3 linked regions of the Mus musculus genome follow. The protein of the gene in region 3 interacts with the protein of the main gene of each other region in a pairwise test. Links are inferred from orthologs where the notes say so. Each region holds a gene or a part of one and is shown on either strand. Other genes may lie near its edges. The genes, in order: Mark3, Foxo4 and Sfn.

Region 1 (3,648 bases), on a different chromosome or scaffold from region 3:
TCGACAGTACTCCATGGTTCCTGCAGCTACCTAATCCCATTTTCTTCCATAAACTCTGGAAAGCTGTTTGCATGACTTCACTAGTATTTCAAGGACTGCAAAGACAGACTGACTCTGTGCCCCTAGAGTCTGAGGAGGAGACTACGCTGGCACTGGCCACCTGCACCTGGGAGCAGGCTGTTGACCTTTCCCTGCGCTCTCATTCTGGGTGTGGCTCCTGACCTCAGGCTCCCACCTGCTTCTCTTTCTCTCTAAGCTGTTAGTGTTAGCATCCCCTAGTCAACATGGTCAGGAAATGCTATCGGTCCTTCAGAAACTCCCTGCTTTGACCCTAACTCCTCCTTGTCACAACTGCTGATTATAGGGGTAGAGGCTCTGGACAAAGAGAGAAATCTGGAGTCCTAATATCTTGCTAGAAACTAACATTTAAAGTTTACTTACCTTAAAAGAATAATTGGTAGCCATTTGAATTATAAATTGATTATAAAAGTGAGAAGTAACACACTTTAACTTCTTTTGGGAGAAAACTCTTTTTGCCAATAGGTAAATTTCACACCTGTTTTCTTTGCCGTTCTGAATCACAGAATGTCTGTCTGCTGCACATCTCTCGCTGCAAACGTAAGTGTTCCGCCGTGTCATCCCACCAGATGCTGTGTTACTCTGTAAGAAAGGAGCATTTTTACTTTGGACTATTTGGTGATAAGTATAATTTAGTAAGAACCACCCTCTTCCCCCACCAGAAAAAAAACCCCAAAAAACAAAAAAATATACTAAACACTATTTATGCAAATAAAAAAAAACCTGTAAGAGAGGTGCTGTCTGTGCCTGGAGGGTAGAGATTGGTGTCTGCTTTGTTTCTGAATTATTCTCTACTGACTGAGGAGGTACCTGAACTCAGAACTCTCAGACTGAGGCTGGAGTATTTAGCCAGCTTTTCCAAGGGACATCCTGTCTCTGCCTTTACAGTATTGAGACTATAGGCAAGTGGCCACACCCATCTGGGTTTTATGTGGGTGCTGAGGCCCTGAACTCTGGTACTCACACTTGGGTGGCAGGCAATTTATTCATTAAATCATTTTACAAGACTAACATAGTCGTTTATAAACAAACAAACAAACAAACAGACAAATAAAAAAGTGTCCATGCACACATATGTGTGTTCGTGAGGATGCCAGAAGAGGGCACTGGATCCTCTAGAGCTAGAACTATGGGTGGTGGTGAGCTTCACACCCATAGGTATTGTAGGTATTGGGAACTAAACTTTGGTCCCTTGCAAGAACGGAAAGCACTCTTAGCCAATGAGCCGTCATTCCAGTCTCCTTAAAATTAAAACATGACAACACATTAACAGACGAGCATAGAATAAGTATGAACAACAACAACAAAAAAGTATAAAGGACCAGGACTAAAGAGAGCTCAGCAGTTAAGAGCACTCACTAGCTGCTCTTCCAGAGGAAATGATGAAAAGACTGCTGGTCATTAAGTAAATGCAATTCCAAACCATAAGCTATTACTGCAAACCTGCTACGGATGGCTACAATAAAAAATGAAAATATAAGGACCTTAAGGGCAAGGCACTTTCTGAGAAGGACCCAAGTTCAGATGCAAGCAGCCCAGAACGCATGTAGTAGAACGCATGGAGTGAGTGTGCATTTGCAAGCACATCCTGGGGGCATAGATGGAGTCAGTGGATGCCTCAGACTTGCTGGCCAACCAATCAAGCTGAGTTCTAGGTTTAGCAAGACACCGTGCTGTGTCAAACACAAGTTGGAGAGTAACCTCTGACCTTCACATGTACACTCGTGTGCACCCGGGAATACATACATGTATATATACCACACATGATAAACACAGAAGTGTGGATAGGAGTCAGAAGGATAACTCATTTACTGCTGAAAAGAATTGAAAACAAACAGTTGGCAGTTCCTCAAAGTTAGATCTAATTACAACACAAGCCAACAATTGCATCCCTAGTTAGGAACCCAGGAGAAATGAAAACCTAAAACCCAGCCTTAGTGTCACAGCTGTCATTCCAGCACTTCTGAGGCTGAGGAAGGAGAACTGCTAAGAGTTCAAGGCTACCCTGGACTACATAGTGAGACCCCATTTTGGTTCAACGTCTAGGACCCACAGGTAGAAAGAAACATCTTTCCAAAGCTGTCTTCCGACCTCTCTAGGCATGAGGATGTCTGACCTAATCAGTGAGCGTCAGGGGCAGAGGTTCCTCCTCCTTCCACTGTCAACCTCGGTCCTTCATCCTCATCCACACAGGCAAGTGTATGCACAAGCATACACCGCACACAGACACACAGAACAGAGAACTCTAGGCCACAGACATTTTATACAAATATTTACACTGTCACTCTTTATGTCTAACAGGTAGAAACAATCTAAACGGCTATCATCAGATGGTAACATTTCATTCCTCCTAAAGCTTGAGTGCTAGTCCATTGCATATACGGACTACAATTCATTGGATTGTACACTGTGGCTGTCTCAGACACACCAGAAGAGGGCATCAGATACCATGACAGACGGCTGTGAGCCACCATATAGTGGTTACTAGGAATTGAACTCAGGACCCCTGCAAGAGCAGTCTGTGCCCTAAACCACTGAACCATCTCTCCAGTCCTTGAAGTTTGTGTGTGTGTGTGTGTGTGTGTGTGTTTTGCCTACATGCAAGTCTGTGCACCACGTGTGTAAAGTGCCTATGGTGATCAGAGAGGGTATTAGATCTCCTGGAACTGGAGTTACAGGAAGCTTTGAGCCACCACCATCTGTATGATGGGAAGAATTGAACCTGTGTCTTCTGGATAAGAAACAAGTGCTCTTAAGCTCTGAGATAACTCTCTAGCCCCAATTTATGTTATTTTTAATTATGTGTCTACTTATGAGTACAAGTACTGGCAGATGTCACAGGTAGTCGGTACACATGGAACCAGAGTTACAGATGGTTGTTATTCACCTGAGGGGTGCTGGCAACCACATTCTGGTCTTCGGCAAAGACTCTTCAAACTACTGACCCATTTCTCCAGTCCCTTCACCTTGAACTCCTTGATCATCCTGCCTATACCTTCCAAGCACAATGATTAGGGTTATCCACCACCACACCTAGTTTATGTGATGCCAAAAACTCAACTCGGGACTCTCCCATGCTATGTAAACACTATCAACTGAGCTTTATTTTCGTTTTTGTTTTTTTTTTTTTGGTTTTTGTTTTTGGTTTTTCAAGACAGGGTTTCTCTGTGTAGCTCTGGCTGTCCTGGAACTCACTCTGTAGACCAGGCTGGCCTCGAACTCAGAAATCCACCTGTCTCTGCCCCGCAAGTGCTGGGATTAATTAAAGGCGTGCCTGGCTGAACTTCATTTTCTTATTTATTTATTTAAGTAAGATATGTAAATACACTGTAGCTGTCTTTAGACACTCCAGAAGATGGCATCAGATTTCGTTACAGATGGTTGTGAGCCACCATGTGGTTGCTGGGATTTGAACTCAGGACCTTTGGAAGAGCAGTCGGCTCTCTTAACCGCTGAGCCATCTCACCAGCCCCCTGAACTTCATTTTCAACACCAACCACAACATTAAAAAAAAAAAATTGTGATTTTTGTTTGTTTTGAGACAGAGTTTCACTGATGGCCTGGAACTAC
Region 2 (3,748 bases), on a different chromosome or scaffold from region 3:
TGGCACAACACCAGGGAAGTATTAAGCTTCCTGCGTGGGGAGGGGGGACACTCTGGGAGCTTGTGGCCCCCTTTTGACTAGGTTTGGCAATGAAAGCAAACCACGCTTTCCTCAGAGAAGCAGGGTCTGTAGCAAAGCTTGTCCTCAAGTCCTCATCTTGAGGGTAGACTCATTACCTAACCTCCCTGGGCCTTCATTTCCTCAGATGCAAAATGTGGACTCCGAACTGCCAAGGCGGACTAACTAAATGAAAAAAAAATTCTTAGATTTCACCGGTTATGGATTTAGCTTAGTGGCAACCATGCGGCCCTGGGTTCAGTTCCTAGAATCAAAAGGGGAGGAAAAAAAAAAAGACTTCATAAACTCTAAAGGCCGTGTTACGTGTAAGTCATAAGAAGGGACTACTCCCAGTGTAACAAGCACTCGTGGTCATTCTACCCTGGAAAATCAACTTAAGGGAAAAGAAAAACAGCTGTGCAGGCTGCGTCCAAGGAGGGAAGCTCTTTGTGAGCTTCAGATTGTGGCATGGCAGTCTACCCAGAAATAGCGCCAAGGGTCTCGGTCAGCTGTCCCATCTTCTGTTCAGTCTGGCCCCTCCGCACATTGTAGATCTGCTCCCTCACTCTAACGTCTACGTGAAGGTCCATTCTGTCCGCTGTACTTGGTACACTAACACAAACCACCTACAGAGAGAGATACAAGGCATGGATACGGGCTGAACCCTCCTTAGTTTTGTGATTAGAGTCCGTATTTCTCTGGCGAAGTTTTCAGAGTTACCGTTTGAGATCTTCCCAGTTTCTTCAAGAAAGACCAAGGACCAACTTGGACTCGAAAGTCAAAGCTATATGATACCTCCTTTCTCCATGAGTAGTATTCCTGAACAAAGACTTTCCCCGTGAGTTTGGAGAGCGCCTTACAAGGAAGGATTTTCGTCAGGAGAAGGTAAACTGAGGCAGATAGCAGCTTGCGGGCCTCTTTCCTTAGTGCACAAGGTCGCTACCTTTCCCCATGGATACCAACCACTTTGCCCCCCTTCACCGCCCACTCCCTCTTGGGCAGAGCAATCGTAGAACAGTTCTGTTCACTGAGGTATTGGGAGGCGAGCAGGGAATCCGAGTAATCCCGCAGGAATGGGCCAAAAGGTGTTGGGTGGGAGGGGAGGGAGGAGGGAAGGCTAGGTGCCGGTGGAGAATCCACACAGTTCCTGCTGTACATAGGATAAAGACTTCTCTGTGGGAATAAATGTTTGGAGCAGCTCAAGCCAAAGTGCTGAGTAGCGAGTAGAGAATTCGATTTTCCTCAGAGCAGGGACAGTGTCTTATTCATCTCCGATCCTCCTGCTTCAAGCTGCTCAGAGTGTGGTATATACTATGTACTAAGTAAATGCCTGTCTAACTGAAGATTAAAGGTGGATCTTTGGGCTTTCCAAAGGGGTGGAAAGGCGGTAATGGGGGGCCCCGGAGTGAGAGTAACTAGAGGGGTCCAAGGGTGGATGGCGTGAAGGTAAGGGAGTCATACTTACCTTCCATCCTGCCGAGCTGTTGCTGTCACCCTTGTCCTTGAAGTAGGGCACCGTGCGGACCATCCATTCGTAGATCTGGGCGAGTGTCAGCCGCTTCTCCGGGGCGCTTTCAATGGCCTGGCTGATGAGTTCTGCATATGACTGATTTCCCCAGGCATTCCGGCGGGAGCCTCCCTTCCGAGGACCTGTTACAGCCCCCAGGATTCCCGGCTGGGGGCCCCCTGCCGGCTCTGGGAGCCGAGAGGGCAACAGGATCGGTTCGGAGTGTCCCTCCGTGGGTACCTTCTGTCCCAGACTGGGCTCCACCTCGGACGGTTCGTGTGGCTCCGTAGCGAGGTCTGGTCGAGGAAGGGGCCAGGTGCAGGATCGCGGACGGCTCTGGGGTTCGAAGTCGGGATCGAGGTCTAGGATCGCGGCAGCCCCTGTGGCTGACTTCTTATTCTCTGGATCCATACGTGGGGTCGAACCTCTGCAGCTCAGCGATCAGTGGAGCCTGCCACAGTCCCTCACCATGCCTCCCCCAAGGGGGGAAACACATTCTTTCCAGTTCTCAGAAAGTCACGAACTTCTCCCTCGTCTCCGGACTCTAGCTCCTAAACTGTCCCTTTCACTCCGTTCTCCGATCCCCTCCGGAGTCCGGGCTGCAGCCTCAGAGTAGCGCTCTGAGGCACCACCTGTAACCTCCGCCTAGCGAAGGCACTTTCTGCACCCTCTCACTCAGCTTCCTGCTCTTTTAAACCTGAGGCACCGTATCCCCTCATACATTGCGCTCCCATCACCGAACGTCTCCTCAGCGAAGTTCCCTCCCCCTTTCAAGTTGCTGCCCCCCGGACACTCCTCCCAAATTTCCTCCACCCGGATCGCTGCCCTCCCCCACGCCCCGCTCCCGGGCGTCACTTGTCCCTCCCCTGGCTCTCCCTCCCCTCGCCTCTTCCCTCCAGGTCACTCTTGAGAGGGTCAAGGTTCTTGCGGCCCCAGCCTCCCCAACTCCAGAACTGAATCCCCTATCGGACCCCCCCACCCCCCGCCCCCCGGGTTTCCCTTTTGTTTTGCTCCAAGCAGCAGCCCCCGCCAGACGTCTCTGTTTACCACTCGCTGGGGCAGCCATCTGCGCACGCGCCTCAGGAGCCACTTGGGAAACTGAGTTCTCGAATCGTGCCACCCTGGTCGTTCTCGAAGACTACATCTCCCGTCCTACCTTGCGATCAGGAGTCCGATATCGGCCGCAGGAGAGCGGCGCGTGGCAGGATGTGGGGAGGTGGAACTTTAATGATTAGAGGTCGTCCCGGACTCTTTTTCTTTTCTTAAAAATATTTTTCCTCATTCCTTCCCTTTTCACCCACTTCCTCGAGTTTCGGGGTCGCCCAAAAGATCGTTTTGAAAGACGCTAGATTTTCCCATCCTTCACTAAGAAAGCAAAGTGAAAATGTATTGCCCTTATAAGAAGCAGAAAGAGTATCAACAAGTAGGGATCTGATTAGAAAATAAGACACACTCACTTGGGGAGTTGAGAGGGAAGCTTGTGTAACAACAAACAGTGTTCATTGGTTATGGTGCACTCTCTCCATTTTCTATGTACATTTCACAGACAGTCTTGCTAGTTTCCTCTGTCAGCTATGCAGGCCTCTGAAATACTGATCTTCTCCTTGTTCTGATCTTCAATGGCTTCTCATTCAACATGTCTCCAACTGAACTTTTTTTTTTTTTAATCTCTTTCTGCACCTATACCTCCACCCTCTAGCTACCTTTAACCTCTGTTATTTTGTCTTTTTTCTGGAGCTGAGGACCGACTCCAGGGCCTTAGCCCTTGTTAGGCAAGTGCTATACCACTGAGCTAAATCCCCGATCCCTACTCTTAAGCTCTGAATTTGGTTAGAGGCTGTTCTGGGTCTACCTAACCTTCTCAGCCACACTGATGGTCACCTTTCCACTTCTGTAACTTGCTACTTCCAAATTCTAAATGGAGACATTATGACTGGGTTTAAGTTCTTCAACAGTGCACCGGCTTCTAATCCTTCTAATCCTTTCAAATAAAGCCATTTCCTAGTGGGCCTATGGGGGGCATTCTTATTCAAACCAGCATATCAAAATTAGCTCACTTACAGCTCACTTAACCATGCAAGGTATGGTTAACCACTATTATATCTGTTTTATAGATGAAAATACAGATGATCTCAGAGATCAAGTGATTTACACAAGGAAACAGGTGGGCCTAAAAATCCAAAG
Region 3 (3,507 bases):
CTGCCCCGGGCTGGTGCGTGTCGCTGCCTGCCGGGCGCGCAGGCCGTGGGCTGCTCAGCCCAGCTCCCTGCGGCTCTTCCCACCCAGCTCGCGCCCGCTCCTCTTCAGCCGATTTCTTTTTGTCCCTGGGCCTTGGGGAGCTTTCCCTTATTTGATCTGTTTTATTGGAGGCACTATGCCCCTGCCTCAGATTGCACCCCTCGGCTCAGATCTGAGCACTTGACGTGACCGTTTCCCGCTTCTTAAAGTGAGGTCCCCAGTGCCACTTGTGAAGCGTGTCTCTTAAGGCCACTGTGCCCAAACTTCCCTGACTTCGCGGCTTTCCCGCCTACAGCCCCCACTCTCCTCTGCTCTCCTGACCTGCCTCTGTGCTCACCTGGCCTGAGCCGAAGCGCTGCGGGGACTTCCTGGTGGCCTCTCACCTGAAGTCACCCTACCCAAAATTTCCAGGTCACCGACACCGACCCAAAGGCTCGTCTCACTTCCAGGTCACCCAGACAGCCCCAAGGGACAGACCTAGCTCAGAGTTTCAGAGTCCGGTTCTCTTAACTCATTTCTAATTCTACTCTCAACCCATGGCCAATAACTGAAGAAGACCGAGTGTCACAGGGCAACTTTATTGAGTGGTAGCATGGTCACACCCAGCAAACGTGTTCCCTCTCATTCACTCTCTCTCTCTCTCTCACACACACACACACAGAGTTTCCCTCTCTCTCACACACACAGCCCTTGCCACAGTCCAGTTCTCAGCCACAGGGTGGGGAGCCTCCTGGATTATTCGGATCCAGAAGCAACAGGTGCCCGAGGGAGGCTCAGGGGGAGGAAGTGGGGAGGGGGTGCAGAGAGCAGGGGTGGGATGGGTTGGGAACACCCACCAGACAGCTACACGAAGAGTGAGATTCCCTGCCCTGGTGGCTTCAGCTTGGCTGCGCCCCCTTCAAAGGAGCCTTCCAAGGTGTGGCTGAACATTCAGGGTTTGGGAAGGGCAGAGTCCCACTCCGTTTTAGTCCTCTCTGCAGGCTGGGGACTGGAGGGCAAGGCGAGCCGGGGTGGTTGTCGGCTGCTTCAGCTCTGGGGCTCCTCCGGAGCCTCACCACCCTCTTCCCCAGCACTGTCGGCTGTCCACAGCGTCAGGTTGTCTCTCAGGAGCTGCATGATGAGGGTGCTGTCCTTGTAGGAGTCCTCACTGAGGGTGTGCAGGTCGGCCATGGCCTCGTCGAAGGTGGTCTTGGCCAGCGAGATGGCCTCCTCGGGGCTGTTGGCTATCTCGTAGTGGAAGACTGAAAAGTTCAGGGCCAGGCCCAGGCGGATGGGGTTGGTAGGCGGCATCTCCTTCTTGCTGATGTCCATGGCCTCCTGGTAGGCTGACCGGGCAGAATCGATGATGCGCTTCTTGTCATCGCCAGTGGCCACCTCGGCTAGGTAGCGGTAGTAGTCACCCTTCATCTTCAGGTAGAAGACGCGGCTCTCTGCATCTCCAGCCCCTTTGATGAGGTGCGAGTCCAGCAGGCCGAGTACGGTGTCGCACACACCTCTGAGCTCGGTCTCTACCTTCTCCCGGTACTCTTTCACCTCGGGGCCCTTCTCTTCTGACCCCTCCTCGTTGCTCTTCTGCTCGATGCTGGACAGGACCCTCCAGGCCGCTCTCTGGCCGCCCACCACGTTCTTGTAAGCTACGGAAAGCAGGTTTCGCTCCTCGCAGGAGAGCTCCTCGCCCTTTTCCACGGCGCTCTTCATGAAAGCTGCCATGTCTTCATACCGTTCGGCCTGTTCAGCCAACTTGGCCTTCTGGATCAGACTGGCTCTCTCCATGACTGCGAGGATGGACAGACAGACGGGCGAACTGGCTGTCTCGAGAGTAACGCTGGGTTCTGCGGCTCCCTTGCTCTGGCTCTGCCTTTTGGCTGGGGTGGCATGGCCCTGAGAAGAGTTGGGCGTGGTCTGAGCGGGCCTGGGCCCTGCCTCCTCCTAGTCTTCGCCACACCCTTTCCGGCTCTACCTTTAAGGTAAAAGGGCTGGGACGGGAGGGGGCTGTGAGTCACCAGGACAGTCAGCAGGAGAAACCTGGCCGCAGGTCCCACCTGCAAAGGCACCTTTCGGCTCCAGACTGCCCCCTGCAGTTCAGGGCTGGCTGCATTGCAGGAGCGTCTTGGATTACCAAATCAGATTGTCTTTCAGGGTGATCTTCCAGGCTTCAGCCACCGAGCTGCTTTAGCCCAGGCAGAGCCCAGGGAGCTGGGACAGTTCAGGTGAGAACTCATGTATAGGTAGGGCTGTACAGTTTCCCCCAAACTTGCGCATCCATGATCTGATGCAACTACCCCCAACCCCCGAATTGGCTCTGTAGGACTGTAGAGGTAGAACTATCAAGTCTCAGGGGTGAACCAAACCAGTTTGAGGTCACAAGCTGCCAGCTCCCTTAAACCCCTCCCCCTCCGTGTCCCCTCTTCCTCTTGGCTCTCTTTGGGGGCCATTAGCTGAGCCGGCCTGAAGATAGCTCCATCCCTTGGTCCTTGTTCTCCCTCAAGATGCCCTATGAACACCCCAGATGCGCAGGTGGCATCTCAGGGTGCCACTTAATGAAGTGTTTAACGAGCGGCCTCTGACGCTCCAGCCCAGCCTTTGTAATTAGTCACCCAATATGTTTGTTGGACACCTTCCCCCTTACAGCACAATTTTCCCTTTCAAGTTGGTGGCCTGTTGACACTTGTCTGAGACTTTACTCTCTGGTTCTCCACATCGGGTCACCCGTCCCTTCCAAGCTGCCTGTCGTCATGTATCGGCAGGGTTCCCAGAGGGTGGGGGCCTAACTCTTTGACTGTCCCACTCCCCTGCCTGACTCAGATTACCTCTGTCAGAGGCTGGGAAGCAGGCCACCTGGGTGCTCAGTCCAGTTTGGTCCCCCAGGGGGGACGCTATCAACCTGGGGAGGAAGACAGGGCTGAGGGAAAGGAGCTGGGAATGGCACATTCCATTTTGTTTTATGGCGCAGTGTGTGATTCCAGCCCAGTATGATCCCTCACTTGGCTCCCAGAGGTTCTCAAGTCCCTTCAAGACTCTGCCTCTGACCCCTGAGAGAAGTCTCCTTGGAGATGGAGATCACTTTGTTCCCAATCTTCCATCCCTGATTGGTTGGGCCCTATTTTCAAGGCCCATGATAAGAATGGGCACTGAGGGTGTGTTCCTGCTTATGTGCCCCACCACATTCTTCAAGTTTAGATGGGACTCCGTGGTTCCTTCTAAAGAAGTTTCTTCCTAGGACCCAGCCAGTCTAACCCTTGAAGCAGGACTATTGCACAACCTTGCCTGTCTCCTCACAGTGTCTGAGCACTCGCCTTGCCTCCGGGAGAGGTGTTGTAGGCCAGAACCCTGAACAGGCTGGAATGTGCTTGGGCCACGGAGTAGGGGCTCTTGAGAGACTTCAGGGTCCTGGCTAATTTTACAGGTTCTCCCAGGAAGCAGATGGGATTTCTGTCCTGAGATCTTGCGTGCTTTGCCTAACTCATG

What was found.
Region 1: the proteins of Sfn (region 3) and Mark3 interact in binary tests that used the Homo sapiens proteins (3 or more experiments, as listed by UniProt). The link is inferred for Mus musculus from reciprocal best matches to the Homo sapiens genes SFN and MARK3.
Region 2: the proteins of Sfn (region 3) and Foxo4 interact in binary tests that used the Homo sapiens proteins (3 or more experiments, as listed by UniProt). The link is inferred for Mus musculus from reciprocal best matches to the Homo sapiens genes SFN and FOXO4.

The regions. Positions count from the first base shown.
Region 1 is NC_000078.6:111,636,949-111,640,596, reverse strand, and holds part of Mark3 (MAP/microtubule affinity-regulating kinase 3), read right to left. Parts: intron 661-3,648; coding exon 557-660; intron 1-556. UniProt on the Homo sapiens protein: Serine/threonine-protein kinase. Involved in the specific phosphorylation of microtubule-associated proteins for MAP2 and MAP4. Phosphorylates the microtubule-associated protein MAPT/TAU. Phosphorylates CDC25C on 'Ser-216'.
Region 2 is NC_000086.7:101,253,048-101,256,795, reverse strand, and holds the start of Foxo4 (forkhead box protein O4), read right to left. Parts: upstream 2,269-3,748; 5' UTR 1,976-2,268; coding exon 1,523-1,975; intron 684-1,522; coding exon of another isoform or gene 534-683; exon of another isoform or gene 1-533. UniProt on the Homo sapiens protein: Transcription factor involved in the regulation of the insulin signaling pathway. Binds to insulin-response elements (IREs) and can activate transcription of IGFBP1.
Region 3 is NC_000070.6:133,599,958-133,603,464, forward strand, and holds Sfn (14-3-3 protein sigma), read right to left. Parts: upstream 2,212-3,507; 5' UTR 1,813-2,211; coding exon 1,066-1,812; 3' UTR 599-1,065; downstream 1-598. UniProt on the Homo sapiens protein: Adapter protein implicated in the regulation of a large spectrum of both general and specialized signaling pathways. Binds to a large number of partners, usually by recognition of a phosphoserine or phosphothreonine motif.